3 linked regions of the Oryza sativa Japonica Group genome follow. The protein of the gene in region 1 interacts with the protein of each later gene in a biochemical or structural test. Links are inferred from orthologs where the notes say so. Each region holds a gene or a part of one and is shown in the gene's direction. Other genes may lie near its edges.

Region 1 (10,681 bases):
AAACTTTAAGTAAATTTCACAAAGTATTAGGTTTTGAGTTATGCCTGTCACAAAACCTTGGATTTTGGGGTTTGTTTCAATAAACATAAGATTTTAAGGTAACTTGTTACATAAACCCCGCTCTGTTAACTCTATCATACTAACTTGTGGGCCACGTTTGTTAGCCATTGCTTCTTATCTCCCTTCTTTTATCAACAATGGCCAAGTTACTCGGAGTTGAGCTATAAGCTAGCAAATCATCGATCCAGTATGTCACATTGTTCATCTTTGCCGAGTTTCAAATTTCACGGCTACTAACACTCATAGTATCAATGAGTACCGCCTATGCAACTCTGAGCTTTTTACTCTACCAGCAACCACAGGATCATTTGCATCAAGCTTTGTTGTTGGATTTACCCTCACCTACCATTGGATCTTTCGCACTAAGCTCTACCTCATCCTAGCATAGCATCTTAGTGTATAGCAGAGGGAGTGATTGTAGTGGTATCCATGACCTCTTTATCTTACGTCATCCACTACCATTTTCCCATCTTGGTGAAATGCCTTGGTGATGCGGTCGGCGGATTGCCTTCAAGAAACTCCTTGTACGACTCGAGGATATTAGCTTGCTGTGTCTTTGTGTACTCAATATTAAATAGGCGATACTGGATTCCCTCTCCCTTTTGTGAAGGTCAATTTATACTTTAGAACTATCCTTTGTTCACAAAGAACTTGAGGGCTCATTTTGGATATTATCTCAGGCGGTTCTAGATAGCTCCAAGTCGGACTATGGTCCTATTTGGGAAAGTTCAAAGATTCTGAAAAAATAATTAGTTGGTAGTAAGTCAGCTTCTAAAAATCTGAAAAAAGCTAGGAACCCTAATTTTTAGCTTCTAGTTTATTTTCTCGATTATATAACTACAACTTCTCATAAACTGGACTGTTTGAGGAGCTTTCAATTCTGATAGAAACTGCAACTGCCAAAATCTCTTCTAAACAAGCCCTATCTTTTCTTACCTAGTAGAACACTCATTCCTTATCTTCTCACGACTCTATTCCAGAATTTGTTTTTTAATAGAATTTGGTATACGATATTTCTAACTAAGATATGTGCACATACGTAGGGTATTGTATTAATACCTTCATTGCCAATAGGAGTGAGCCCCTGCTTGCTCCACTGTCTTCTAGAACCTTGATCCATGACTGCATGTATCTCCATTTCTGCGCTCACTTCATCATCGTGTTCCTACTCATTAAGGGTCCACTCCTCCTCAAGCATGTACAATGGCAAGCTATAAGCTAGCTATAACCACATATCGAGATGAAAAGAGAAGAGAGAGAAAAAGGCGGGCTGTAGATTTGTAGCCAGCTGCAACACGAACTCCAAAACGTTATGTGTGTATGAGAGGTGGGACCAGGTATTAATAATGTAGTACTCCCTCAGTCCCATATTATAAGGGATTTTAAGTTTTTGCTTGCAACGTTTGACCACTCGTCTTATTCAAAAAATTTTGAAATTATTATTTATTTTATTTGTGACTTACTTTATTATCTACAGTGCTTTAAGCACAACGTTTCGTTTTTTATATTTGCAAAAAAATTTGAATAAGACGAGTGGTCAAACGTTGCAAGCAAAAACTGAAAATCCCTTATATTGTGGAACAGAGTGAGTATATTTTTATAGTTAACTATTGTATGAATGTGTTATTATATTAGCTATAGATGATTTGAAGCTAGTAGTTGGCTATACTACTCCCTCCGTTTCGAAATGTTTGACAACGTTGACTTTTTAGCACATGTTTGACCGTTCGTCTTATTCAAAAACTTTTGTGAAATATGTAAAATTGCATGCCTACATGAAAATATATTTAACAATGAATCAAATGATATGAAAAGAATTAATAATTACCTAAATTTTTTGAATAAGACGAACGGTCAAACATGTGCTAAAAAGTCAACGGCGTCAAACATTTCGAAACGGAGTATTAAACTTGCTCTCACCAAGTCACCAGACTAAGAAAGGGGAAGAAAAGGCACGTGAGATTAACACACGGAGTTCACCTGTCAAGTGACCGAAAATTAATGGAACTATGTTTTTGTGATACTAGATTACTAATTGCTTAAAAAATGCATTATTTATTGAAACATCCATAAATCCTAGTGTTCTGTGATACTCATGCTATCTGGGGATTTTTTTTACAAAAGTTATTTAAAAATTATATCATAATAAAAGATTAGTTTCCATTGTATTTTTTTTTACTAGATTCATATGACCTTCCTCTCAGAATTCCCACAGGAGCTAGGATCAGATCACGCGATGAATTGTGCCTGATCCCAGTCTTCAAAAGCGGAAAAGAAAAAAAAGAAAAGCCAAACCCCGTTGCGAGCCGAAAGCATCCGAGAGCCCCAGACGCGGGGGCATGGGCGTTCACGTGCGGGTCACATGGCCATGTCCGCAAGTGGAAAGCCCCAAATACCAAACCCCTAGGAGGGCCACGGGTGCACTGTCACCCAAAAGTAGTAAGAAATTCTTTTGCAGTTAACGAAAAAGGAAGTCGAAAAAGAACCAAAGCCCAAAGAGCAAGTGCAACTCCAACTCTTGGCCACTGCTCCCTCGCTCTACTTAATTAAACCCCAATTAGATGATGGTGATAATGATGGCACTAACGCTAATCTCGATCTATAATCTAGTAATCTCTACTAACCCCGAGCTGTTCGTCCAATAGAGTATCATGGCCACTGGTGTACAGCTGCGTACTATTACTAAATTTGTAAGTTTGTTGGGAGTTTTTCTATGCGTTCTTCTGTCCCAATCAGCTTACGGATTGTGCTTAAAGAAGGGAGGAGTACTAGTTTACTACGCAGGCTATTGGGTTAAGCAGGACAGGTTAAACAGTTTTGCTAAGTCACTTTTTTTATTACGCGATTACATTTTTTTAGGAACTATTAAGTGATTATTACTAGGACTGAGAAAGGTAGACCCGTTGAGTTAGCTAGGATTTTGGACGTCATGCGAAAAAAACATATTAGTGCATAATTAATCGATTATTATTATAAACTTGGAAAAAATATATTTATTTTTTAAAAAATCACATGAAATACGCTATTTAATTGTTCAGGAAACGTGATTAAAAAAGAAGAAAGATACCGTTTACCGAACTCAGCCTAACTCTCTCTTGTATGTACTCCATGTTTCATATCTCTTTCTCATTAACTTTTCTATTTATGTGTGGAAGTTACACTAGCAATTTTTCCAAGGATTTTAAGTACATAAGCAAGTACTGAAGTTTCGTAAGATTTAAAAATCAGGCTATAAATATTTAAAATTTATATTACACTACATATAATTCATAGTGTAAATATATACAGAAATTTTGGTGTCCTTTAATAAAAACACGGTCATAAATATAACGGCCAATTTATTTGGTCTTATTGTTAAAAAATCCACGAAGTAAAAAAAAATCATCTTATTGATACATTTATTATCACGTAAAATGGTATTTTACACCTCACGTATCCATCTTGCAATGGTATTTTCTGAATTTTATTTTTCCTAATACAAACTTATTAGTATATTTTGAGATTGAACACGTCATCTACTACTTAAAAAAGTAATTAGGGTGTGTTTGGATAATGAAAAATAGGGAGTGGGATTGGGATTAGTAAATGAACGAAGGGTTAGGATTAAATGAAAGAGGGAGAATGAATGATTAAGATTTAAATATGTCTTTTGGTGGGTGGAAAATCATTTCCCTATCACATTAGCCAAACATTGCCTTAGTCATAGGTGAATAGATCCCACTGCAAGAAACTCAATCAGTTGATCTACGTTTATTTTACATGTTTTCTAAATTTTCCCTTTGTATTATTTATATATATATATATAGGACACTCATATGGGGCACCATGGTGCCCGGGCACCATGATATCAAATACACAAAATCACTCAAATTTTTCAAAATTTTCAAATTGTGAGTATATACCTAATTATAATAACTCGATTCATACCTATACCTATCAACAAAACAACTCAAATTTAACTTTATTTCACAATCCATGATTACATACCTAACTAATTATATGTATGGATGCTATATACCTAGAATCAAAATCTAACAAAAACAAGTTCAAATTCAGTTCAAACTTGCTTTGAACTAGTTAGTAAAGTAGCTAATGTTAATATCTAAGTAATTGAAAAAGTTTCATACTCATTTGAATTAGGTATATACTCAATTTCAACAATGGTGCCCGGGCACCATGGAGCACCAAACAAATTTAATATATATATATATATATATATATATATATATATATATATATATATATATATATATATATATATATATATATATATCTCCCTAGGTTAATTATTGGCGGTAATTAACTCCAGGTTGGCGTCGAGGTAAATCCGCGACACCTCACCTCCCCACGGCGACCCCATCCGCGCCGGCCGGTGATCGGGGTGATGGGGGAAGGATGGGGCCGGTGCGTGCGTGCGATGCGACGCGAGCCCCGGCCTAAGCACAGCACAGCTGACTAGCTGAGCCCCCACACCATCACAGGCTAGGCTATTTATTTATTCAGCTCGCCACTGCCACCCGAGTGCGGCTGCCTTGGCTTTGTCTCGTCTGCCTCCTCCTCTTCTTCCCGCACAGTCCACAGCTCCGCCACTACTGGAGCAGAGCTGAGCTGAGCCGAGCAGGTACCCCGGTCGATCCCTCCTCTTCCCCCATCTTTGCTGCTCTTCGCTTGTATGGTTGGATGCTGCCTTAGCTAGCATCATCTGCTGCTTGTTCGTTTCTTGGAGAGGAACGGGCTGTGCTGCCCTGTAGTGTGGTGTTCTCTTTCTCTGATGATTTTGGGGGGGACAAGAGATGTGGTGAGAGATGTTTGGGAGTTGGGGACTGGAGGGTGCTCTTGTTTAGTTCGTATTTTTTGTGATCAGGGCTTAGCATCTTTGAGATTAACAAAAAAACTTGAACTTGTATGCGAGTGTGATGAACTGATGATTGATGATTCAGAAATCCCCTTTCCTGGGGTTTGTGATGGATGGCAAGCAAAGAGGATAAAATTCGGTGCTTGTCTCTGTTGAGATGGGTTTTTTTAGGATTTGTTTAGTGGTGGATTTCTTGGACTTTGGGTGCCACTGGGTGGTTCTTGGTAGAGGGGGTACTGCTTCAGTGCTTCTATCCATGTGCCACGTCAGTGTCCACTGACTCACCCCCAAGCCTTGGTACAGGAAGAGGATAGGAACAAAGGTGAGGGGTAGTGGAAAGCAGCAGGAACAACTTGCTGATCCTGGAGAAGTGTGCTGTTGCAGAAATATTGAGAAGATTTAATCTGGCTTTGCTTAGTTGTTGTTTTTTATTGTCAGAAAAGCCATAACTCAAAATCCCCATATGTTGGGATAAAGAGAAAACAAAATGATGAGTTCAATTGAAAATGTTGCTACATAAGAGCCTACTATTGGAGGAGCGAGTAGTCCAAACTCCAAACGATGTTGCTCGTCCTGTTAAGGGGTTTTGCTCCAAATTTGGACTTGCAAACAAGTTAAGCCACAAGTTGTTTTTTTAGCCACTGTTGTATGCACAGCAAAGACTTATAAAACCTGTTTCAGTAATATAATAAGCGGCTTCAGTTTTTTTTTAGATAAGCGACTCTTTTATGCTTTCTATAAAACCTTCCAAATGATAAAAATGCACTTGATGCTGATCATTCGTATTAGTCCATCATACTAATTTCATGGACATGCTAAGTTCAGCTGTTTAGAGCAAGTCCGTCTTCTGTGATGTCTGTGAACTTCCATTCAGCTAAGATATTTCACCTTTTTATTAGTAACTACAACTGAATATGGTTTGTAGTTTCTTTTTGGTAAAAAATATAGTTCCATGAGATTTTTAGATAATGGGAAATCCGGGTCTTTGCATCAGCAGATATTACAACCCACCATTACAAAATTTGCAGCACGTCTGGCTGAAAGTAACAAACACCAAGAGGACAAGAAAACCATATGAAAACATTGACATAAGGACTAATTAAAAGAATCAGGAATCAATCATATTTCTAAATCTCCATCCATGGCGAAGATTTGCATGATCATTGTCTCAAAAGTCCGCCATGCAAACTGGATATTGTCCTTGTCCTCACACTTTTGCAACTGGTCCTAAAACTGATCCCAGTATGTGGCCCAGTATAGTACCTTCATATGAGATTTAGTTGGGGTTTTGGTCCATGAGACTAGTGAAAGTGCAGCCTCCGTGAGTCCAAGGTACCTTTGACGGCTTATTTCAATTATTATTTTAAATGAAACCCTTTAAAAATTATATTACTTTGGAGAATTTTTTTTCCCTAACAGATCTATTGTTGCTGTTTTTACAGCGCCAATCTAAATAGTTTTATGTATAGTGGTGAAAGACTCGAAGTTGTATTAGATTACCATTTACCATGCCCATGTCAGAGTGGCATACATGTGTTAACAGAGGGAATATTAGGCTGAAAAAGAGTAAATCTAAACATCAAACTAGCAGAATTTCCAAGCAATTATGCAGTTAGATACTAATAACATGTTTGTATCGAAACTAATATGCAACAGTGTTTCTTATGAAATAGCTCTAATATATATCCTATTAATCTCCCACACTATAATCTAGATCCACCACAATAAGTATAATGGATATGTTTTAGCGTTCCTCCAATCAACGTAGTAATTTATAGAATGTGGAAGCTTTCCTTTTATACTGTTTTTAGAATGTAAACTAGATTTCCTGCATTTCATGCCTTTGAAAATCTTAAAGACTGGCCATGTAATGCCAATGAAAATCAGATGAATGACAAATACAAAGTAGAGAATATCTTATCACAGATTAGTGAAGGAAATTCCTCAGAAAGGTTTTGGCTTTACAGGAGATGTCATGCTTATTTGCTAACACAAGTGCCTGCAGTTGTATTTGGAGAAACTTTAGTCCTCTAATGCTCTAAGATTTGTTGACCGTTCTTCAATAGCATCTTTAACATTGTATTATTTTACTTCGTCAACCGTTCTTACTTCATCCATCGAGTTCTAGCAGGGCTAACTTTTTATATTTCTCAAGCTCTTGAAAGACAAAAACATTTCTCTTTTCTGAACTGCTCAGGCAACAAGGAAGTCTAATCATGTGGTTTTAGGCATTGATCAAAGTTGATAGTCCACATTTATCCACTAGATTGAGGCATCTATTGATATTAGTGGATTGCTATACTTTTTTGTTTTACTGATTGATGTTTTCAACTTATATTATCTTGTTCAGCAGGAGTGGTATACAGCAGATAAGACTCTTGAGTGATTCAGGTAATCAAGGCAGAAGATGTCTTCTTCAAGACCTACTCAATGTTCCAGTTCATCCAGCAGGACCCGCCAAAGCTCCCGGGCAAGGATATTAGCACAAACAACTCTTGATGCTGAACTCAATGCTGAATATGAAGAATATGGCGACTCCTTTGATTACTCCAAATTGGTTGAAGCACAGAGAACTACTGGACCTGAGCAGCAAGCTCGTTCTGAGAAGGTCATAGCTTACTTGCATCACATTCAGAGAGCAAAGCTAATCCAACCATTTGGTTGCTTGTTGGCCCTTGATGAGAAGACCTTCAATGTTATAGCGCTCAGCGAGAATGCACCAGAGATGCTTACAACTGTCAGCCATGCAGTGCCAAGTGTTGATGATCCCCCAAAGCTACGCATTGGCACCAATGTATGGTCTCTTTTCACTGACCCAGGTGCCACAGCACTGCAGAAGGCACTGGGATTTGCTGATGTTTCCTTGCTGAACCCTATCCTAGTTCAATGCAAGACCTCAGGCAAGCCTTTCTATGCCATTGTTCATCGGGCAACTGGTTGTTTGGTGGTAGACTTTGAGCCTGTGAAACCTACAGAATTTCCAGCAACTGCCGCTGGGGCTTTGCAATCTTACAAACTTGCTGCCAAGGCAATCTCTAAGATCCAGTCACTGCCAGGTGGAAGCATGGAGGTGCTATGCAATACGGTGGTCAAGGAACTCTTTGACCTCACAGGATATGATAGAGTTATGGCTTATAAGTTCCATGAAGATGACCATGGTGAAGTCTTTGCTGAGATCACAAAGCCTGGTCTTGAACCTTATCTTGGCCTGCATTATCCAGCTACTGATATCCCTCAGGCAGCCAGGTTTCTTTTCATGAAGAACAAAGTCCGGATGATTTGTGATTGCCGTGCAAGATCTATCAAGATTATCGAAGATGAGTCGCTCCACTTGGATATTAGCTTATGTGGTTCAACACTGAGGGCACCACACAGTTGTCATCTTCAGTATATGGAGAACATGAACTCGATTGCATCCCTTGTCATGGCTGTTGTGGTTAATGAGAATGAGGATGATGATGAAGTTGGGGCTGATCAACCTGCACAACAGCAGAAGAGGAAGAAACTATGGGGACTCCTTGTTTGCCACCATGAGAGCCCCAGATATGTTCCTTTCCCATTGCGGTATGCCTGTGAGTTCTTAGCACAAGTGTTTGCTGTCCATGTTAACAAGGAGTTTGAATTAGAGAGGCAAGTACGCGAGAAAAGCATATTGAGGATGCAAACAATGCTCTCTGACATGCTTCTCAGGGAATCCTCTCCTCTGAGTATAGTATCAGGGACTCCCAACATCATGGACCTTGTGAAATGTGATGGTGCTGCTCTTTTGTATGGGGGAAAAGTGTGGCGGCTACAGAATGCTCCAACTGAGTCTCAGATACGTGATATTGCCTTCTGGCTGTCAGATGTCCACAGGGATTCCACTGGCCTGAGTACTGATAGCCTACATGATGCTGGATATCCAGGAGCTGCTGCTCTTGGTGATATGATTTGTGGAATGGCAGTAGCTAAAATAAATTCCAAGGATATCCTGTTCTGGTTCAGGTCACATACAGCTGCTGAAATCAGATGGGGAGGTGCAAAACATGATCCATCAGACAAGGATGACAGCAGAAGAATGCACCCTAGGCTGTCCTTCAAGGCATTCCTTGAGGTTGTCAAGATGAAGAGCTTGCCTTGGAATGACTATGAGATGGATGCTATTCACTCATTACAACTTATACTTAGAGGGACACTGAATGATGACATCAAGCCAACAAGGGCCGCTAGTTTAGATAATCAGGTTGGTGATCTCAAGCTTGATGGGCTTGCTGAATTGCAGGCAGTTACAAGTGAAATGGTTCGTCTCATGGAAACAGCAACTGTCCCAATCTTGGCTGTAGATAGCAATGGATTGGTCAATGGATGGAATCAGAAGGTTGCTGAGTTGACAGGGTTGAGAGTAGATGAGGCTATTGGAAGACACATACTTACCGTTGTAGAGGAATCTTCTGTACCAGTTGTCCAGAGGATGCTGTATTTAGCTTTGCAAGGTGGGTAAATTAGCTATAGTGGTTTTTGTCTATTCCCCCAGTATTTTTCAAGTTTCTGCTTATTTGGCAATTCGATTTATCAAAAAAACTTTGGGGTTGCTTTCTAATGTTCAATGCCTAGATATGCTACATTTGATTGTCATGCTCATACATTAATACTTGACATTCAGCTGCGTTGTGGGTTGATTGATTTCTAAACATTTCTTTGATTGATCAGGCAAAGAAGAGAAGGAAGTGAAATTTGAGGTGAAAACTCATGGCTCCAAGAGAGATGATGGCCCTGTTATCTTGGTTGTGAATGCCTGTGCCAGCCGGGACCTTCACGACCATGTTGTTGGTGTGTGCTTTGTTGCACAAGATATGACTGTTCATAAGTTGGTCATGGACAAATTTACTCGGGTTGAGGGAGACTACAAAGCAATTATTCACAATCCAAGCCCGCTTATTCCTCCCATATTTGGTGCTGACGAATTTGGATGGTGCTCTGAGTGGAATGCTGCCATGACGAAATTGACCGGGTGGCATAGAGATGAGGTGATCAATAAGATGCTTCTTGGTGAGGTGTTTGATAGCACCAACGCCTCCTGTCTTGTGAAGAATAAAGATGCATTTGTAAGTCTCTGCATTCTTATCAACAGTGCATTAGCTGGTGATGAAACAGAAAAGGCTCCATTCAGCTTCTTCGACCGGAACGGGAAGTATATCGAGTGCCTTCTTTCTGTTAACAGAAAAGTAAATGCAGATGGTGTCATCACTGGAGTATTTTGTTTCATTCAAGTTCCTAGTCATGAGCTGCAACATGCACTACATGTGCAGCAAGCCTCACAGCAGAATGCACTAACAAAGTTGAAAGCTTACTCCTACATGAGACATGCAATCAACAACCCTCTCTCAGGTATGCTTTACTCTAGGAAAGCACTGAAGAACACAGGTCTGAATGAAGAGCAGATGAAGGAGGTCAATGTTGCAGATAGTTGTCACCGCCAGCTGAATAAAATACTTTCTGACTTGGATCAAGATAGCGTCATGAACAAGTACTTTTCTTACCAAGTATTCTAAGTTACTCTCTTAGGCTCTTGTATTTACTTTCAGCTACCTTTGTTCTTCATCAATTGTCAGACCTAACAGGTCGATGGTGTTGCTCTTATAGTCTTATGTGTTTGTATTATCTTCAAGTGGTCAATTTTGCTCTCTCAAAATGAAAGAATTTGTTGCACCAAGTCCCAGTGGTTTTTTACTCATTACTCAGTACAAACCTTATATATATATTATTAGTTATTATCTTCAAACTAAT
Region 2 (10,681 bases), about 4.6 Mb from region 1:
TTGGCAACACTGGATGTGTTTAGTTAATTAGTCTTATAACAAAATTACTAGTGTTTGTATGAGAAGAAACTTCTGAAACACGTTTTTGGTAAAGTGACAATATATAGGAAGAGTATATTTAGGTTGTTACTCTACTAAAATTTGATGATACCAAAACTTAATAGAGTTAAAAGTGGTAACAAAATGAACTAGTCCAGAGATATCTAAGCAAACAGGTCGTGTTTTCATCGTTTTGGCAGTCTACTTGTAATACTCCTATGTACAATTGTGCAATTAAGAGTCAAAATTAACAACTACTAAAAGTCATGACCGTCCATAACACATTGTGTAAATGGAATAATCCCTGCCCGTAGCTACACACAACTAAGATAGCGTCCTTTTTGCACTATCAGCAATTAATTAACTTTGCAGTATTGACTTAGTTGTTAGCAATGAGTGACAACGTTTGAGAATTAAATTTTATGGTGCGTCACTCCTCTAATATTTCGGATCGTACGCTAATCATTATCTTAACCTTCATGATATGCAACTCCTTCGATTGAATTTCTTCACTGTGCAACTTTTTTGTTGCTAGCTGAATACTCATGAGTCACATGTACTGAGCTACTTCCTCCGTTTCATAATGTAAGTCATTCTAGCATTTTCTACATTCATATTAATGTTAATGAATATATATATATATATATATATATATATATATATATATATATATATATATATATATATATATATATATATATATATATATATATATATATATATATATATATATATATATATATATATATATATATATATATATATATATATATATATATATATATATATATATATATATATATATATATATATATATATATATATATATATATATATATATATATATATATATATATATATATATATATATATATATAGATTCATTGACATCAATATGAATGTGGGAAATGCTAGAATAACTTATATTGTGAAACGGATGGAGTAGTTGAATATGCTTTTTTCTCTCTTAAGCATGAGAATGAAGGGTACACACGACTCGCTATAATTTAGGCTGCTTTTGGGAGGACCGGCACGCAAAACAAAGCATGTATTATTGCATGATTAAATAAGTATTAACTATTTTTTTTAAAATAGATTAATATAATTTTTTAAAACAACTTTTGTATATAATTTTTTTATAAAACACATACTGTTTAGCAGTTTGAAAAGCGTGCACGTGAAAAACGAGATAGATGAGTTATGAAAATTCGAGGAAGAACACAGCCTTAGTGGGTCCGATATATATATCTGGTGGTGGGTGTAGACAGTGGCAGAGTTACCACTCACCATCATCACTTAAGTGAGTTTTTTTTAAGAATATACATATAACAAAATTCTTCACACCTCTTACTAGAAAAAAAGCCTAAACGTATTAGTAGGTAAAACATATATCAATCCAGCTAGCTAGGCATGATGAGTCTAGATGATTTTGCTTTCTTTCCAACGTGGAGACATATTAATTCAATTTACAATGGATCGACCAATGGATTTTCCACTGTTCTCCAGCCCCTAAATTTCGGGATATTTAATGTCCTGTGTACTGTTAACATGGACGTGATGACATACCTTAACATAGATGTAAAGGGTGGTAGGGATTATTTAGATTTTCCTAAACAACCAGACATTAAGGCTTCCCAAAGGATCATATTTAAGATAACAGTGACACTTATTGTAGTTAGACCATCGCATTAATGAACAGTTAACAGTTACACTTGTTTTTACGTGATTTTCTGAACATATTTAAATAATTAACACTTGAATTCAATGGAGTGGGTATATATGCCTACAAATTACTACATCAGTCTCAAAATAATTATAATTCTAGATTATTTTAACATATATTAAGGTTTGAGAATAAAGACTATAATACCCCTTATTAAATGGTGTATACGTAGAGTGGAATGATAGTTGAGAGTAAATGGGAAGAAATTTGAATGATAGTGATTAATGGGACCATTAGTATTCTATTATGACAATTATTTTAGGACAATTTAAATCTTATAAATATAATTTATGGGAACTAAATTTGTGCTAAATAAGTGTTATCAATATTTGCCAATATAGTGATTTTATAATGTCCATGACGGGTTATTTGGTTGGAGGAATTTTTTTTAAGGAATTGAGAGTTTAGAGAGATGAGATTATTAATTGTTCTGTTTGGTTGGAAGACAAGAGAGTTTTGGTGGGATGAGAATGAGGAATTGAGGGAGTAACTCCATCCTTTTCAATGCCTAGGTGGTGGGTGGTAATTGGGAAGGAATTTCTCCTTCATTTTGCGTAAACAAATCCCAACAATCTATTTTCATTTAAAATCTAATCTCCAACTAATCTTCGTTTCAATTCCCATTGTCTCTACCAAACATGATATTGGAACTAAAAATAAATTTTTCATGTTAATCTCACCATTAATTTTCTCGTCTAAACTCCCAATCATTTTTCCTCATGTCGCAAAACAAGCCGTGAGAGGCACCAGACGCTATGACTTTTTCAAGCGCTAACTTTGGTACCTTGCTGCATCTATTAAAAATATATTTATTTTTTTTACCAGTTCCTCATCTAACCAATCATAACCATCTCAAATTTATTTTTTTTCACTTACTTTCTCTTCTTAACAATCATAGCCTATTTACTCACTTGCATCATTAGGATGTGGAAGACTTTAGATATATAGCCAATTTATAAAAGTTTCTGATAGCACAGTTAATTTTTTTTTCAAAACTCTTGTAAAAAATACTTTAGCTTTTCGTTTAAATCAGATTTAAAGAACTGTAACTACAGAATCTACAAAATAAAATTATGTCGATTTCTGTATATTCTTATCAACTAAGGGGGTGTTTAGATCCACGGGCAATCTTTTCTTTTCCCGTCACCTCAAACGTTTGAACACATGTACGGAGTATTAAATATTAAAAAAAAAACTAATTACACAGTTTACGTGTAAATTGCAAGACGAATCTTGCAAGCCTAATTGCACCATGATCTGACAATGTGGTGCTACAGTAAACATTTGTTAATGATGAATTAGTTAGGCTTAATAAATTCGTCTCGCAGTACAGACGGATTATGTAATTTGTTTTATTATTAATTAGTCTACGTTTAATATTATAAATATGTGTCTGTATATCTGATGTGACCCGATAAATTATTTTTGCCGGTGAAATTAAATACAACCTAAATTTTGCCCTGCCGCTTCTTGGAATTTAAAGTAGATCTACAGAAACCCAACCTAAATTCTGTCCTGCCGCTTCTCGGAATTTAAAATAGATCTACAGAAGTATTTCCTCCGTAAAAAAAATCAAACTAAGTTGGTTTATTTTGGGACGGAGGGAGTAGTACTACACTACTGCTACTGGTGGTAGACTGTAGTGTGAACCATCGACACCCTACAGCGTACACGTACTTGTGCTGCTCGTCGTCAACGGCCAAACTAGGGCACTTCCTCGGCTTCTCCTCCAATCAGAGACTCTCTCTCTCTATATATATATATTTGCCTGCGAGGCTGCGACTCCAAAAGATGGCGTGTCGCTGCTGCGAGACCAGCAAACCGAAGTTACTCGAAACGGTTAAAGTAAAAAAGATCACACGACACCACAGCACGCCCGGTCTCCTAATCCTTGGGCGATGCACATTGATCTGCAGGTGCAAAATCTGTACTACTCCCACTAAATCTAATCTCTCCTCTGATCCTCTCTAATCATTCGTTGATTTCATTCCCCTGTCCGGACCCCGGCCCCTCTCTCTCTTTCTCTCTCTCTCTCTCCCCTACCTATCTTATCTATCAGCGTCTGTCTCAAGGAATCCAGTTCAATTCAACCGCAATGTTGTACAGCTACTTAAAGGCCCATCGCTTGTGCCAAGCCAAGCCCGGTCCCCCTTGCTCTGCCTCTGCCTCTTCTTCCTCCTCCTTGCTCTGCTTCTGCTCTCTAGCTAGCCTTCTTCCTATTGGAAGCTTCTTCTCAAGTGAAAATTAAGAAGCTAGTATTGGCTGAGCTGAGCTGAGCACCCAGCCAAAGTCTTGGGCCTACTTAATTAGGTTAGTTCTTGCTTCTTTTCTTAATTTACTTCTCTCTTTCTTTTGATATACTTTTATGGAGTTCTTTTCTTGCACTGTTCTACGCCTTTGTGGACAAGATGCATGCATGTTTTTTCTTTATTGTTTTAATTAACGAGGTATAATCGTAATTAACTGCTGAAGAATTACAGCTTCTTCATCACTACAAAAAGGAAAAAAAAAGAAGTTAATTCTTCAGTGTTTTTTTTCCTTCTTTACTGTTTTTTCCCCTTATTTTACAATAAAAAAGGTTAATTAATTTTATTAGAAAAAGAAGAAGCTCTTTTTGCTGTTGCTTTTGTTCTTGGAGCTGAAGAAGTTGTTTTTTTTTTTGGTGCCCTCTGCTTCTTCTGCAGTGAGGTGAAGGGGAGATCGTCGTGTCGTCATCCATGGTTGCTGCCATCTGATGAGCGATGAACCAGTTCGTCCCTGATTGGAGCAACATGGGTGACGCATCCAGGACACTCGGGTTCGCACTTTGATCGAAGCATAGATTTCGCCGGTTTGATCCAGGATGCAGATTTTCCTTTCTTTTTTCTCATGTTTTTTGTGTTTGTGTTTGTGCTTTTGCAGCGAAGATGACAACCTCATTGAGCTGCTCTGGTGCAACGGCCATGTCGTCATGCAGAGCCAGAATCACCACCGGAAGCTGCCGCCGAGGCCGCCGGAGAAGGCGGCGGCGGCGGCGGTGCAAGAAGACGAGGCCGGCCTGTGGTTCCCGTTCGCGCTCGCCGACTCGCTGGAGAAGGACATCTTCTCGGACCTCTTCTACGAGGCGCCCGTCGCGGCGACGGCGGAGGCGGCGCCTGCTGGCCCGGGCGCGGGCGCCGACGGCGAAGGAAAGACTTGCAAGGGCGACGCGGCAATGGCGGAGGAGGAGCGTGGCGGGCCGGGCGCGGCGTCCGAGGCGCCGCGCGAGCTGATGCCGCCGCCCAAGTCGACGAACGCGTCCTGCTCGAGGCAGCAGACGATGAGCCTGGCGGACGGCGGCGACAACGCCGGGGACCTGTCGGAGCTCGTCCGGGCGAGGAGGTCGTCCGGCGGCGCGGCTCGGCGGAAGGCGGAGGCCGGCGGCGGCGGCGGCGGCGCGTCGTCGTCGATGCTGAGCGCGATCGGGTCGAGCATCTGCGGGAGCAACCAGGTGCAGGTGCAGCAGCGCACGGCGAGCGAGCCCGGGCGCCGCGGCGCGCCGCCCTCGGCGGTGGGGAGCGCGAACGCCATCCCCTGCGGCGGGCGCGACCACGGCCACGGCCACGAGGCGACCACCGTGGCGTCGTCGTCGGGGCGGTCCAACTGCTGCTTCGGCACCACCACCACCACGGAGCCGACGAGCACCAGCAACCGGAGCAGCAAGCGCAAGCGGCTCGACACCACCGAGGACTCCGAGAGCCCCAGCGAGGTAGGCGTCCTCCCGTCGAACACCAACAGAGACGCACACTGACACTGACACCGGCGGCGCGTGGGATGCAATGCAGGACGCGGAGTCGGAGTCGGCGGCGCTGGCGCGCAAGCCGCCGGCGAAGATGACGACGGCGCGGAGGAGCCGCGCCGCCGAGGTGCACAACCTCTCCGAGAGGGTGCGTCCCAATTCTTTCCTCCTTGTCTTTAACGCCATGGGAAGCTGTCTGACCTTGACGCCATTGGCACCATTTGTGGTTTGTGCAGAGGAGACGGGACAGGATCAACGAGAAGATGAGAGCCCTGCAGGAGCTCATACCACACTGCAACAAGGTAACCAACTTAACTAAACTACACACTAATTAATCACTCGCTAATCCTCCGAGATTAACCAAAACTTGTACTAGACTGACAAGGCGTCGATGCTGGACGAGGCGATCGAGTACCTCAAGTCTCTGCAGCTGCAGCTGCAGGTGAGCTGTGCACTTACTGCAACGGTTTTTGGCGCGTAATTTAAATATATATATATATATATATTTATATATTTATCGGTTTCTTTTTTTTTTTGATTTTGGTTGTCAAGATGATGTGGATGGGGAGCGGGATGGCGCCGCCGGTGATGTTCCCGGGGGTGCACCAGTATCTGCCGAGGATGGGCGTCGGGATGGGGGCGGCGGCGGCGGCGATGCCGAGGATGCCGTTCATGGCGGCGCCGCAGCCGGTGGTGCCCACACCGCCGGTGAACCACCTTGACCTGGGCGTCAACCACCTGCAGCCGCCGCCGACCCAGGTCTCTTACAAATTGCCCTCCCCCCCCCCAAAAAAAAAAAACATTCTCAAATCCCAGCTCGTTTGAGACAAATTTGTGCGAAATATTTATATTTGCTGAGGTATTGGGACAGCTTTATTTGCAGGGAGTGGGGTATTATCCGTTGGGGGCCAAGGCCGTGCAGCAGCAGCAAAATCCACCACTTCACGTGCCAAATGGAAGCATTATGCCTCCTCCTGAAAATGCACCCAACACAGGATCAGGTATGGGATCCTTCTACTTCTACTTCTACTTCTCTTCCGATTAAATTGTACTCCGTCCGTTTCATATTATAAGTTATATGACTTTTTCTTATTCAAATTTTTTAAGTTTGATCAAGTTTGTAGAAAATATACTAATATTTTTTAAAAAATAATATATTATCAAAATATATTCAATTTTAAATTTAGTGAAACTAATTTGATGTAGTAAATATTGCTAATTTTTTAATAAATTTAATCAAACCTAAAGAATTTTTATTAGGAAAAAAGTCAAACAATAATATGAAACGGAGGAAGTATGTACTAGTAGTACATATAACATAAGTTTGGTTTAGGAAAATGTTTTTTATTAAGAGTTTCTTATGATCTTTGAGAAAGTATGTGCTCCTACTCAATCTGTTCTTAAATAATTGACTCTGGCACTATTGTAGTTTAAACTTTCCGCTTATCTTTTTTAGAAAGAATTTGTTAGTACTTAAAAATATGTTATTTTGTCCAGGGGTGTAACATCCTAATTATAACCGTGCAACTTCCATACTAGTTCACCCTCCGCCCCGAAAAAAACCAACCTAAGAAAGGATTTGATCTCTTGTCAAGATTCGTTGTGAGGAATCACATCCTCTTCGATTGTTTTTTTTTGTTGAGACGGAGGGAGTGCATTATAAGTAGGGTGCTGAAACTGAGATGGCCGTAGTCAATTGTGTCAGTTATTTGAGGTCAAAATAGTGTCAGTTATTTGAGGGAGAAGGGAGTAAATTTTTAATTTTAAATTGTGAGCATGTTCAAAATTCCACGGACAACCTAGACACAATCAGTATGTCAACGACTTAATATTATTGGAGCAAGCTTGATCGGGAAGCCGTACATTTTTTTTGTCTCATAGTGGTTAGTAGGTGTTTACTACCTCCTCCTTCGTCCCTAAATATTGACACCATTAACTTTTTTAAACATGTTTTATCGTTCGTCTTATTAAAAAAATTAAGTAATTATTAATTCTTTTCCTATCATTTGATTTATTGTTAAATATAGTTTTATGTATACATATAATTTTACATATTTCACAAATATTTTTTAAATAAGACGAACGGTCAAACATATTTAAAAAAAGTCAATAGCGTTAAATATTTAGAGACGGAGAGAGTATATATGATTAGCATATACAGTATATATCTGACGTATACACATGTATATCAGTGGCTTTCTTATGGGGGCAAGTGGTAATTATATCAATCCACGTAGAGGTCATATGTACTCTGCCTATAAAAGAAAATGCAGAGATTTCAAACTTTTCAGATTAAATTACACATTTTGGTCCCTGTAAGCACAAGAAAGAAGGGATTTTGACTCCATAGGAACAAAGAACAAAGGCATACGGACAAGAGAAAAAAAGAGGGGGAAAAGAGGGACAAGGAAAGAAGCTTGACTTTTCAGAGCTCAATGATTAGTACCGTGGAGATTCTCCGCATAATTTTTAGTCTAGCCTACTTCCATATGGTTCTTTCAAAATTAATAAAACTTCCATATGCGATACATATACACAACAATAGTGGAAAACCAATTATATTTGGAACCATGAATAGTCTTTATCAGTCATCACCCTCATAAACATTTTCTTTCTTTCTTTCTTTCACACAATACACTCATAGTACTAAAACATATTTATTAGTTCAACTTGTCTGTTCTACTGTTATTATCATGAGAAAACTACTTGCCATCTGAAAATTACCAAGTGGTACCCCATTTTCGCCGCGAATAAAATCCTTTTTGATAAAAGGAAATATCTGGTGCAATTGGACAAGATAAGCTTGAAAGGTGGTGCTAGAATCCATCATTTTCGGACAAAATTTTCCATATGCCCAAAAATTAGGCCATTCTAGCTTCCTCATGCGTGCAGCTTGCCTAGCCATGTCTCAATTGTTTTGTAATGTTCTAAGCTTGTCGCCATCGGTATACTAGTCAATAATACTTACGTACTATACCTATCTCTTATGTCTTCATCTGTATATGTATAGGATTAACCAATGTTTTTTTCTTGTGTTCTTGGCAGGATAATTAACAAAAAAGAGTGAGAGCAAAGAGGAAGAAAACATTCATGGTTGCATTGATCCTGAATGAGTATATATGGCAATAAAGGTAACTGAGCTGCACAGCAGGACGGAGCAGAGGAATTTGACAGGGGGACGATTTCTTTAGCTTTTTCCCCTCTTTGGGAAGCCAGGAACTAGCTGTGATGTGCAGAAGATGTTAGCAAAATCTCTTGAAGATCTCTAACTGATTGTAATTAGGGGTATGATGGCATGTTCAAAGCATAAGGCTGGTCTGGTCTTTTGTACCATTGGAATTAACATTAGAGACAGAAATTGTGCCATACATTTGGAACAAGAGTAGTTAGTATAAATTGACACACTTCTTTTCAAAAAGTACAAGTTGACACACTTTCTTTCCTTTCTCTCTCTCTTCCCAACCTAACACCGTTTTCCTTGATGGCCCTTTCCCCAACATGTTCCTCTCCACAATCTCTCCACCCCCTTAAAAAAACTACGAGAAATTTGTGAGATATTTAACTATTTGTCACTTTTATAAGTGGTAATTGAGAATTTACCACTGGACCTACATGTTATAAATCGTGTGGCAAATCCTTAATTATCATATTTTAAAAGTGATAGAAAGTTAAATGCCACGAAATTTGTGGGTGACTGATCCACTGTCAAGATCATGATCCATCGCCAACTATTCAAAGCTAGTTTTTCTTACACATGATTTTGTTGCCGTGCATCATATGGAAATCGACTCGTCTCTTCCTCTACATCAGCAATAATTGGTGTGTTGTGCATCGTATGGAAGTTTGACTCCTCTCTTCCTCTATATTAGCAATTGATATAGGCAGCATTGCTATGAGAGCCGATGTGGTTTGCGTGTCCTCAATATAGTCTAGATTTTTGTTCGGTTTGTGGATACATGGGAAGCTCAAATAATGTACTCGCTCCCTCCGTCCCTAAATGTTTGACACCGTTAACTTTTTTAAACTTGTTTGACCGTTCGTCTTATTTAAAAACTTTAAGTAATTATTAATTCTTTTCCTATCATTTGATTTATTGTTAAATATACTTTTATATATACATATAGTTTTACATATTTCACAAAAGATTTTAAATAAAACAAATGGTTAAACATATTTAAAAAAGTCAACAACATCAAATATTCAGGGACGGAGGGAGTACATTTTTTCCTTTTTCTCGGTTGAGAAGCGAGACCACATCAATTTGGTCTTTATTTTATCCTCCAAAACGGGTTGTCTAGATTGAACGCATGCGCAACACCAAATGCAATTTAAATTTGTAACTAGTGGTGTTTTAAGCTTTCCACATATTTTTGTTTTTTTGGCGTACAATAGAGCAAAAGCAGTTTAAAACGATATCGTTGTATATGCAGCATTTTTTCCTCTATAGATACATGATAAATAGGTGTACTACCACATATCTTACTTTATGTGTCTGTTTCGAAGGTGCTCGGCTCAGTTTATTGTGGTAGCACAGCAATATATAGCAGCTGCAATACCAGTGTTCTTTACTTCTTGATGTCCTAGAATTTGGTAAGTCAAAACTAGTTCAGCAACCTTAAAAGTGCCACAGCCTGTTATTTGTACATGAATGAATATTTTGTAAAAGTCTGTAAAGTGGGTTAGAGAAACACTTTCATTTCGCTTAATCCAATGCATAAATTTTCATTAAAAAAATCCAATTTAGAAAACATTTTGATGAACAATCTATGTAAAATATATATTATCACCCAATATTTCGATGCATAATAAATTATTTTTAGTATGCAGAATGCGTATCTAGTCGTGTTAATTTTCTATCTACATGTCTCATATTTTATTATTTCTCAGTACTCTTAAGAGCAAGTTTAATAGTATAGTCAACTGTTGGCTCCAAATCATATATAGCTAATATAATACTCCATTCATACTATAGTTAACTATAAAAAATATATACACCATTAATACCCAGTCCCACCTTTCATACACATATAATGTCTTGGAGTCCGTGTTGTAGCCGGCTACAAATCTGTAGCCCGCTTTCTTCTCTCTCTTCTCTTTTCTTCTCAATATATGGTTATAGTTAGCTTATAGTTTGCTATTGTATCTGCTCTACAAACCGTAAA
Region 3 (10,681 bases), on another chromosome or scaffold:
ACGAACGAGGTATATAGCGACTCGAAATGAGGACAAATCAGGTCCATTTTTTCACCCCCATGCAGGAGGAAAATGAGAGGCAGGGGTATTTTCGGCACTTCACAACTCGAGAATAAACAAATCTTGAAAAATGTGACAAGATGGCCGCTGCTCTGCTCTGCTCCTGCTCATCATCTTCTTCTTCTCCGCTCTCCCTAATCCAAAAAAAGGCGGCTGCTTTGGTCGCTCGCTCGCTCGCGCGGACGTTGGAGGAGAAGCAGCTACCGGGATGGACGCCATGGCCGTGCTCGCGAGGACCTCCCGCCCCGCCCCGACCCTCCTCGCCGCGACCTCCCCCGCGGTGTCCCGGCGCCCGGCGGCCGTCTCCTTCGCCGCCGCCGCCTCCCCGGGGTCCCGCGGCCGCGTCGCGCTGAGCGCCGCGTGGGGCGGGAGGGCGGCCAGGGGGCGCGTCTCCGCCGCCGGCCGCATCGTCGCGTCGTCGGTTGGTCACCTCTCGAATTAATCCCCTTGTTTTTACCTACTCGCGTTTGGTCCAAATTGCAGGAAAAGATTAGTTCCTTTTTTGTGGGTTGAGAGGGGCAATTTGGTTTGGTTGTGATGTTGGTTTCAGACTTTTACTCTACTGTTGTATTGGCCCGAGTCGTATTTTTTTTGATAGATTGGGGAAGAAAAAGACATGCTACTAGCTGAGCACAGATGAAGATAATCGTTTTTTTGGCTCCCTATTGATTGCAAAAACTGAACAGATAATTCACTGAAATGTCCCACATATTCATACGTTGCTTTGGCCAGTCTGAATTTCCTTTTTTGTTGAGAAGAGTCAGTCTAAAATTTTAGTACCCGTTTCTGGAATATTCTATGGTTATTGACATAAGTTATTGGAAAAAAAGGAAGCGAACTTGAACTGAAAGTAAGAATTTTGCCTTGCTGCTGTCAGCGGCAGACAGTACTGATGAAAATATGGCACTTAGGCATGCTACATTGTGTTGATTGCCAAGTAGGAGTTGCTTTTGTACCGTGATGCGCATATGGAAATGGTCATGGCAATTATTTTGGATGCTCTGATAACCATCTAATTTGCTGCCTAGTTCGTGCAGTACAATTGAAGATGTTTGCTATATATGTCATTATGTAGAATTTTTGTGCCCATCAGAATTCCAAAATTTGGTCTTCATTTTTTTTACTCTTTTTGTTAATAAATGCAATGATCTCTGTGGTTCTACTGTGAGATTGTTTGAATTATTCAACAACGTGTTTCAAATTCCAGTACTTGAACAGGTCCAAGTTTCCTTAGGCAATCTCATTTTGCGATGCAGCATGACAGTTGTTGCAACTTGCAATGTCTTAAATACACAGTGAAGGGGTACTGTAGAACAATCTAAATCTGTTTATGCATAGTTGAGAAAATTGAGTTATGTTGAAGGGATGCCAAATTTATTCTTGTAGTTTTTCATTATTCCCCTCAAGCATAAAGCCATTTTCTGTTTGCTAATCTCAGTAACGTGTTAGTGCATCAATGTTGGTTTTATTAATCTTACGCATTTAATCCCTGAAATCAAAGATGCAGATCAGCAGAACTTGTAGAACTGTTTCATTTTTTATGTCCACTTATTCTTTTCATGGCACGATATATGCCTATATCTGAGAGGTATTACGGATGCTGTTTGACTTAGCTTAAGTATGGAACCTGAGTTCGTCGCTTCTATTTTCACAGAATAAGTGTGGATCTGTCTATTTATGAAACTAGGAAGGTAGCCCGCGCATTTGCGCGGGCATGTTTTTATTTCGTTTCGAAAACATGTCTAACAAAATAAGTTTAAATTAAAGTGAGGTGTTTCCCTTCTTAATTGAATGTTCATTGTATTTTTTCTTTAAAAATCTTGAGAAACTTTAATTGCTCATAAATATATATTTTTTACTAACCTGCTATCACCTTTTTAAATTGACCAAATATACATATGTAAGATAGTGATTCTTATGCGTAGGATCCTACAGTATTTTTAAGAAAAATACCAAGTTAATATGAGTCTTAAAATAAAAATTAGTAGGAAATTTCTAATCATATCGTTATACGAAATGCTTATTGATTTTGTATTGACACCTTAGAGGCATTTACATGCAGGTCGTGGAATTTAGTGTATTCGTTTAATTATCATTGACCTTCATCTCCTGATGTGTCAAAGTGAAATATGACTTGTATGTAGAGAAGAAAAAAAGTTTAAAAGAATAAAATATCGTTAGGATGTAAAATGAACTTTTTTTTCCTCTGTAACCAATGGAATAGATTGATTCAATACTACTTTTGCGGGTTAAGTGCTCCACTAAAATAGTTCACTGTGTAAAAGCTTCAACTCTACCTTCTGGGTTAAGTACTCCACTAAAGTAGTTATATGTAAACACATTACAAAAGTTATTTCTAAAGGTAGCCCATGAGTCCGAGGCAAAAGGCTCATCACATAGGAGGCTGCACATTTGAGGAACATGAGAACAATATTCTCGCGGAAATCATTTGTTTAGAATGTGATGAACATAATTGTATATTCAATTAAAAACGTTAGAAAAGTGGCTTAAAGTTGTCATTTCACATTGATTGGTTATGAAAATAATGGTATATATAAATCTTTGTGCCGATATCATTGTTTGCCAACAATCAACGAACTTGATAGTTACTTTTGGTGTTCCTTTTGGTATGTAGCAAATTGGCTACATATTTTACAACTTACTGTATCCTTTGCTGAGATGCACTTGCTTTTTTTTCTCTGTATACTTGATTGTCTCATTGTTTATTAATGGATGCCTTCGGTCCACGTGACACAATATATATTTCAAATAAAAAGCCTTCTCGAGTCTAAATTGATTTTGCAGCGTAGGAGATAGTTTATTGTTTCGTGTAGAGTGTGTGAGACTCCATGTAGCTTAGCAGGAACATAATTTTCATTGCGAAAAATAACTCCGCATGTGTGATTATTATGTAGTGTGGTATGATTGTTGTCATGATTTAAATATTTTTACTCTAAAATTTATGATTAAACATTAGGATTTTACATAATGCAAACAATCACTTTGTGATTTTATCTTAGCTAACATGCATTAGGCCTTTAGTGATTATGTTTATATTGCATAATCCTAAATATGAAGCCTACAATGCTTATCCTATTTTATCTTTGTTGTTTGAAAGAATTAGCCATTTATACAACCATGGTAGTTTAAATACTAAATAGTTTTTAACTTTTAAGTTTCTAAAATAATTGGTAGATAAAGCTTTTAGCTCGGTCATGCATGATACATACATGTAGTCCCAAGCTAATTTGCCCCCTCACGCTGACAGTGTCCTGAGTAATGTCGATGGGGGCAAAATTGTGACCGATCAAAGTCTTAATTTTTTTCAGTTCAAGAAAAAAAAATGAATCTCAATTTTTTAGACTACTATCCAATGTCTTGTACTCTATATGTACGAACGAAGCTATAACCGATCTCTTTTCCTTTGCGTTAGATCAATGTATATGGCCCACACCATTAATTTATATATATCTAATGGTTAAAATTAATAGGTCCACCGATTTGAATGAAAACCGATGGTAAGATATTTTTCTTTTTTTTAGAATTTATAGGATTTTACCTAATTTATTATAGCGTAAAGTGATGATTTAGGAGCATTTGTAGAATATGCATGTGGTGGCTTGATAATGTTTATTGGAAGTATAATGGACTTTTAGTATTTTTTTAAGTTTCAGAAAGAAAAATGAATCTCGATTTTTTAGACTACTATATAATGTTTTCTTCTTCCGTAAGTGTACGAACGAAGCTATAACCATTCTCATATCCTTTACATTAGATCGATGTACGCATGGTCCACACCATTATATTATTTTATATAGATCTAATGGTTAAAATTAATTGGTCTAACATTTTAAATGAAAATCAATGCTAAAGATATTTTTCTTTTTTTCTTAGAATTTGTAGGAATTTTTCTAATTTATTAAAGAGTCATGTGGCAATTTATAAGCGTTTATAGTATATAATATAATATAAGACACGTATAATTATATTATTTTGACTTACCGGGGAGTAATTTATTTTCTAATTTAATTATTGTGTAATTATGTTTGATGATAAAATCTATATCGTTATTTTTTCATAATATTTTGGAATTATTTAAATGGCACGTAAAAGTCAGAAATTGTAACCAAAACATGACATTCTTTTTGAAAGATTAAATATAAGCAGTTTAGATGTTATATTTGTTTAATTGTCAATTGTGCTCACCTATTGTGCTTTCTACCTAATATTGCATAAGAATAGGAATAAGAAATAAGAGAGGGAACAGAGGAGGAAGAGAGGAGGCATACGGGTCCAAGTACGTACGTATACCTACTACGACTCCACGTAGGTACAATACTGATAGGGATTGGAGGATTATTTTTTCTTTATAGATTGATCTAATGGTTAAAAATATCGGGTCCACCAGATTAAATGAAAATCAACGGTTGGGTGTTGTCTTTTTTTTTAGAATTTTAAGAATTTCTATAATTTATCATAGTGCCAAGTGGCAGCTTGGGAGCGTTTGTAGGGTACACGTGGCAGTTTGGGAGCATTTGTAGGAAGTTTAATGGACTTTTATTATATAATAGATGTCAGACATTTCTGATTACCTCAATATTCTGTTATTTCAGTTAGAAGTTGAGAACTCTCCACTTAGGTGATCTCTTCCTGATCAACCATAAGATTAAATCTATTTTTTCTGTAGGTTGAGCAATCCTATATTATGATCAAGCCTGATGGTGTTCAGCGAGGCCTGGTATATCATTTTACTTACTTTTCTAACTTTAGATTCCATTACTTTTTTTTGACGTAATATATTCCATTACTGAATACTGTAGTTCCATTATAGTTTCTTTCAGCTCAGATAAACACTCCTGTCGATTCGTTCATATAGGTTGGCGAGATTATTTCCCGTTTCGAGAAGAAAGGCTTTGTGTTGAAGGGCTTAAAGCTTTTTCAGTGCCCCAAGGACTTGGCACAGGTTTGCCTCTTAATATCCACCGTTTTCTTCAAAAGTAAAGTGTTTTCTTCCACCATCTGGGGACTCACCATTTAATCATCGTTGGAGAGCAATGGTGCCATTTCAAAATATACCATGGTTGCGTGGCATGACAAAATATCATGCCCAGTTTATTTTCTTGGTAGTGGGCAATTTGCCAAGACTTGAATGGACTTATTTGAGGAGATCACAGTTTTATTGTTGTGAATGGAAATTTCACAATCGAATAAATGATAAATAGCATGTCTGTCTGGTATGTTATTTCAGGACAGCCTTGATCATCCAAAGTACTCATTCTTTGCTGACTGCTGAGATAGTTCTTTCGAGTCACTTTTTCTTGTATTCAGCCAACGAAAAGTGATCCATTAAATATCCAAGCAGCTGGAGAAAATTTTGTAGAAATGCCATCGAAATTTGTGGTTAAACCTGGTTTCTGCTCACCGTCAGAGCATACAGTATTATCTTTGTTTTCACATAGGAAGGGAATCACCAGGAGTATATTATGTTTAATCAACGAGCTGCTAATTCTCTCTTATGTGCACAGGAGCACTACAAGGATTTGAAGGAAAAACCTTTCTTTCCCGGTCTGATCGAGTACATAACTTCTGGCCCTGTTGTTTGCATGGTATATATATTTGTAAAGAACCAAACATATTTGTAACTCTGCACTTTGATCAGTAAACTGTTTTCAATTAAATTTATTGTTGTTCTGTTCTGTAAGGCTTGGGAGGGGAATGGTGTTGTTGCATCAGCTCGCAAGTTAATAGGAGCTACTAATCCCCTTCAAGCTGAACCAGGGACCATACGGGGCGATCTTGCAGTTCAAACAGGAAGGTTGGAATCAAACAACCTTTCATGTTTTAACATTATTATATCTACCACATCTTTCACATTTTAGCGGATATCTCTGCATATATATCTCTGTCAAAGAAATTAAATTTCTTATGGACTCTGCTTTCCAGGAATGTTGTCCATGGAAGTGACAGTCCTGATAACGGCAAGCGTGAAATCGGTAAGTTCTACTCCTTTTCCCAGTAGTCATGGTATAACAATATAAGGTGCATAGAATCATGAGTTTTAAGTACTACGAAGAATGAAGTAGTTGACACAGTGATTAGGATCATGTTTTTTTTTTTTAAAAATAATAATTCAGCAGCACTATGTGCTTAGAGACGTGCATGTTTGTTAGCTTGGACTTAACTTTATTGTGACCTGCTATTTTGTTCTTTACAAACAGATGATAAACTCATTACACATTTTCTGTCTGTAGCTCTATGGTTCAAAGAAGGCGAACTCTGCGAATGGGAATCTGTTCTGACACCATGGCTTGTAGAGTAATGCTCCCAGATCAGTGCAAGAACTGGATGCAGTGCTTGTTCTTGATTTGAGGGGTTATGTATGAGTTCAGATCAGCAGAGTAAAGTAGCTTATACCAAAGCTCGGCCTTCTCATGACTGTACACCCTGACATTCCCCTTTTTTGTAATACCCAACATTCCCTTTTTTGCGTTTGACCGATTACTCTCTGTTGTCAAATCTCCTGGCATGTCTGTAATTGGTTCAGAACAATACCAGCAAAGCTCCAACTTCCAAGTCATTATGCAGATGAATGCGTTCAAAATTATCTCAGGCAGTTGACCGATGACTGATTGTCACTGTTGTACTATAGCTCCCAGCAGAGGTGAACTCGTGCAGAGTTGCAGAGTTCATTTGGCTGATGAGCCATATCTTGATCAGCAGTTATGAAATTGTCACCGTATTGGTGTTCAACCCACAAATGAGGAGGCTAAGGGATACTCGTTTGATCTTTTTTGGTGCTTGCATTTCTTGAGATAATGTTTTACTGCTTGATATTTCATCCCAGAAGCTCTCATTTGTACCTCAGCCTCTCAACACCTGAAAGTCTGGACACTGAAGGCATTGATAATTTTCTTACTTCATAGCCGAAAATAAATAAAATCTCAAAATCAAGACTATAGGTGAAAAACCAGCTAAGTGCTTGTGTTTGAGATTAGCCATAAAGCATATTGGCTCAACATGCGAAATTAAATCTGGAGCGTTGGGCACACTCAGGTAATTGTGGGGACTTGGGCCGTGCCGGTCTAGCACGGCATGGCCCATCGTGCTTCGTGCCGGCCCAAGCACGGCCCAATGGCACGCAGTGATATTTGGGCGAGCCCGGGTTCCCTTCTTCCTCGCTACTCTACTCGGCGAGGCGTTACGAGCCCTTCCTCACTAGTCACTCCTCAGCGACGTTAAGGAGACCCGACAACTTCTTCGTCAAATCTTGATACTGGGATGAAAACGGTAACGGAAATTCTTAGCTGACCGATGTTCGTTTCCGACTTTCTACCGGCCAAGCCATATGAAAATGGTAATCGATTGGAACGAAAATGAAAATGGTAAAATTTTTAAATGTGTCAGTTGCTGATTTTTTTTATTTCATCTACCTTATAATTCACCAACTCATTTTACTCATCTTTCTCTCCTACACTCTTACATTCATCACTCAACGGTTCAGATCACCTCTGTGAAATCCAATGCTCAGGATCGTCTCCACCTCCCACGCGCGTCAAACGCCCGAGAATACGGTCGCCATCCCGCAATCCGCCAATCCGCCCCTCTCCCAGCGCCGATGTCCCTCACAATCGTCGCCCTGGCCGCAGTAGCGCCTCCCCCTCCCCAAGCCTGGCTATTGCTCCCTGAGCCGGCCGGCTGCAGATCGCCTCGCCGCAACGCAAGCGCGTGATTTCCTCCCCCTCCCCCACGCGAACGCGATCTCCTCCCCTTCCGAAGATTGGGGAAACGCAAGCCTGCAAGTGTGGAGGCATCCATCCGCCTGACGTTGCAGCCGTCGGCGCGGACGCCGCTGATCCCGAGTCGACACCAACCAGGCCACTGGCTGATCTACTTCCAAGCTCATGCGCGTGAGCAGGTCCATTTCTCTGATCCTGCCTGATAGGAATTGCAAGCAAGACATTATGGTTTTGGCTTATCAATTGGATCTGAATGCATCAGATATCTTCCTCTCCGGAAATTGATTTGGGACGAAATTGATGGATTACTAATGGTTGTTGCAACAGGGTAATTTGCCCTCAATCTGAGGTATTGCCATGTAAGTGCTATTTCCTTTAAAATGTTCTTTGGACTAAACACGGTGTTATAATTTTACCTGATGCAGGTGCATTGCGTGTTGTTCAGTGCAATTCGAAACCAGATAATTTCTTGATTTTTCAAAATGCACCTTCTGCTGTAACAGCAGTAAAAAATGCTGGAATGTGATTGGCCATTACATGTACATATGTGTAAAAAATAAAGATGCACCTTGGTATTTAATATTTCTTGAACTTCCATTCTCCTTTTTCTTTCTTTCTTCTTCTTATTTATTATTTATTATATTTTACTTTTTGCATAGAGCAGCAAACTGATAATAATCAGTGCTTGGCTACTTGGTACCTTCTGAATATTTACTATGTGGTTCGTGAGATTGGTAATATGTTCCATCAATGAATGACTAGGCTTCAAGGCTAAGAGGGCAGATGACGAATGTAGTGATATATGTAGCTGCCTACGAGCTAATATTATTGACCTTTGGGCTTTGGATTAGAACTGTAATAAATAAAGTATCAATTGATTATGTAAACATTTCTTCTCGTTGTTGGCATGCCAGAGTCAAATATTGGTAATCTTTTTTTCGGGCAGATTTGTCCTATTACTAAGCATTTTCCAAATGATGTTATGCATATCAATTCCACGGTCCTTTTTTTTTCTGATTAACACTGTAGTACTTGTTCTCTGAAGAAAATGTACATATCATGGATATGTAGAGTGGAGAAGAGAGGCTGCACTGGGAATAAAAGTGAGGAAAAATATTTTTGTAATACACTGTATTGAACACGATAAATTAATAGCTGGTCGAATTTATATGTGTTGTAGATAGTTAGAAATGTATAAAAATTGTGATTTTATTTTATGCATGCGGCTATGGAATCAACAATATACTAACTTAAATCCATCTCATCCTATGCTTTTAATTTACATTACTGATTGGCTTTGAAGCATTAGCACAGGCATATTACTATAAGTATATGTTTACAGAATATGTACACTGGTAATTGCTACAGCATTTAGTGTTGTGTTTTATTTTTTGTTAGATGTTGTACCGAAGAAAATATAAAGAGCCCTTTCCTTTATTGATCGAATGTTTTGCAAAAAGCAACCATGCATGCATGTATATCAACCATTGATATTTGACCGGATGCTTTTATATGTAGAGAGGCTTGCAGAATTGTTCCGAGTACAATGTAAGTGCCACTCTTCTCTAATTACTATTAGTATTTTGATAAAATTATGTCTCATTTTCAGACTGCAGTTCAATTTGTCATTTCAAGGGATAAGCAGGGTAGATAATATATGTATTTTGTTAGAATAGAATACGGACGCTTCTGGTATTTAGCTGATACCTACACATAGTGAAGAGTAATGTGCGCTCGCCACCGGCTGAAGGTTTCGCTCGCCAAGTCTGACACAGAGAAGCAGTTGAAGTTAACCTCGGTTTCTCAATTTTTTTTTCATTCTATTTGTTTTTGAGAGCTGGGGATTGGGCATTTCTATTCATTTAGCAACAACGTTTCTATTTTTCCTTTTTCAGCACATACTTCGACTGTGAAGTCACTGTTATTTGATCCTTCAAATCCCAAAGTTATTATTATACAAATAGTTGAAAGGTTCTATAGGTGCTATTTCTATAGAACCAATAGTTACAAATATCAGTTGAAAGGTTCTATAGGTGCTATTTCTTCAATAAATCCAGCAGCCTTATTCTATGCTTTATAATTAAAACAATATTAACTTCTTTTTGACTAAAAACAATATTAACTTTTGGAGATTACAGAGTAAAGTACATAGACGGTCCTTACACTTGTAGGGTTATGTTATCTAGATCCCCAAACTCTTAAAATGGATCCACGTCTCGGAACTTATCAAAGTGTATCATCTAGGTCCCAAATCGACACAGCCCCTCTAAGATCCTATGTGGCACTAATGTGGCATGCCACATGGACATGATGGGTCTTTTTTTTCTTCTTTTCTTTTTCTTTTTCTTTTTTTTGGTTTTCTTCTCATTCTTCTTTTTTTTTTCTTTCTTCTGCTTGGGTCATAGAGAAAGGAGAAGAAAGGAAAAATAAAAGAGAAGAAAGAAGAAAAAAAGAAAAAGAATTTTTTTTAAATGGGTCTCATTTGTCAGTCAAAATTATGCCATGTCATGCACGTATGGCATGCCACATCAGTATCATGTAGGATCCAGAAGGTTGTAGCGATTTGGGACCTAGAGAACATACTATGACAAGTTCTGATACTTGGATATGCATTTTAAGAGTTTAGGGACCTAGATGATACACCTCTACAAGTTTAAGAGCCGCCCGTCCATTTTACTCTACTAAATATCACCGTTGCGTTAGCACGGGTATATTACTAGTCATATATAATTTGATGTTTCACTCGTTGGTCACCGGAATACCGTCTGATTTTTTTTTGGGACGTCGGACGTTCGATGGGAGAAGATTCTTCCATATTTATTCATAGGAAAAAAACATTGACGGTAAAACATTATTCAGATGGGGATGGATCGATCGAAACATGC

What was found.
Region 2: the proteins of phytochrome A (region 1) and transcription factor PHYTOCHROME INTERACTING FACTOR-LIKE 13-like form a complex in vitro, tested with the Arabidopsis thaliana proteins (3 studies listed by BioGRID). The link is inferred for Oryza sativa Japonica Group from reciprocal best matches to the Arabidopsis thaliana genes PHYA and PIL5.
Region 3: the proteins of phytochrome A (region 1) and nucleoside diphosphate kinase 1 form a complex in vitro, tested with the Arabidopsis thaliana proteins (2 studies listed by BioGRID). The link is inferred for Oryza sativa Japonica Group from reciprocal best matches to the Arabidopsis thaliana genes PHYA and NDPK2.

The regions. Positions count from the first base shown.
Region 1 is NC_089037.1:30,050,521-30,061,201, reverse strand, and holds the start of phytochrome A, read left to right. Parts: upstream 1-4,440; 5' UTR 4,441-4,681; intron 4,682-7,265; 5' UTR 7,266-7,322; coding exon 7,323-9,387; intron 9,388-9,604; coding exon 9,605-10,421; intron 10,422-10,681. UniProt on the Arabidopsis thaliana protein: Regulatory photoreceptor which exists in two forms that are reversibly interconvertible by light: the Pr form that absorbs maximally in the red region of the spectrum and the Pfr form that absorbs maximally in the far-red region.
Region 2 is NC_089037.1:25,404,160-25,414,840, forward strand, and holds transcription factor PHYTOCHROME INTERACTING FACTOR-LIKE 13-like, read left to right. Parts: upstream 1-3,753; 5' UTR 3,754-4,072; intron 4,073-4,446; 5' UTR 4,447-4,503; coding exon 4,504-4,559; intron 4,560-4,663; coding exon 4,664-5,489; intron 5,490-5,565; coding exon 5,566-5,667; intron 5,668-5,755; coding exon 5,756-5,821; intron 5,822-5,895; coding exon 5,896-5,961; intron 5,962-6,071; coding exon 6,072-6,278; intron 6,279-6,390; coding exon 6,391-6,520; intron 6,521-8,564; coding exon 8,565-8,569; 3' UTR 8,570-8,937; downstream 8,938-10,681. UniProt on the Arabidopsis thaliana protein: Transcription activator. Negatively regulates chlorophyll biosynthesis and seed germination in the dark, and lightinduced degradation of PIF1 relieves this negative regulation to promote photomorphogenesis.
Region 3 is NC_089046.1:22,870,125-22,880,805, forward strand, and holds nucleoside diphosphate kinase 1, read left to right. Parts: upstream 1-196; 5' UTR 197-268; coding exon 269-481; intron 482-4,747; coding exon 4,748-4,798; intron 4,799-4,936; coding exon 4,937-5,023; intron 5,024-5,585; coding exon 5,586-5,666; intron 5,667-5,762; coding exon 5,763-5,875; intron 5,876-6,003; coding exon 6,004-6,053; intron 6,054-6,311; coding exon 6,312-6,379; 3' UTR 6,380-6,664; downstream 6,665-10,681. UniProt on the Arabidopsis thaliana protein: Major role in the synthesis of nucleoside triphosphates other than ATP. The ATP gamma phosphate is transferred to the NDP beta phosphate via a ping-pong mechanism, using a phosphorylated active-site intermediate. May activate MPK3 and MPK6.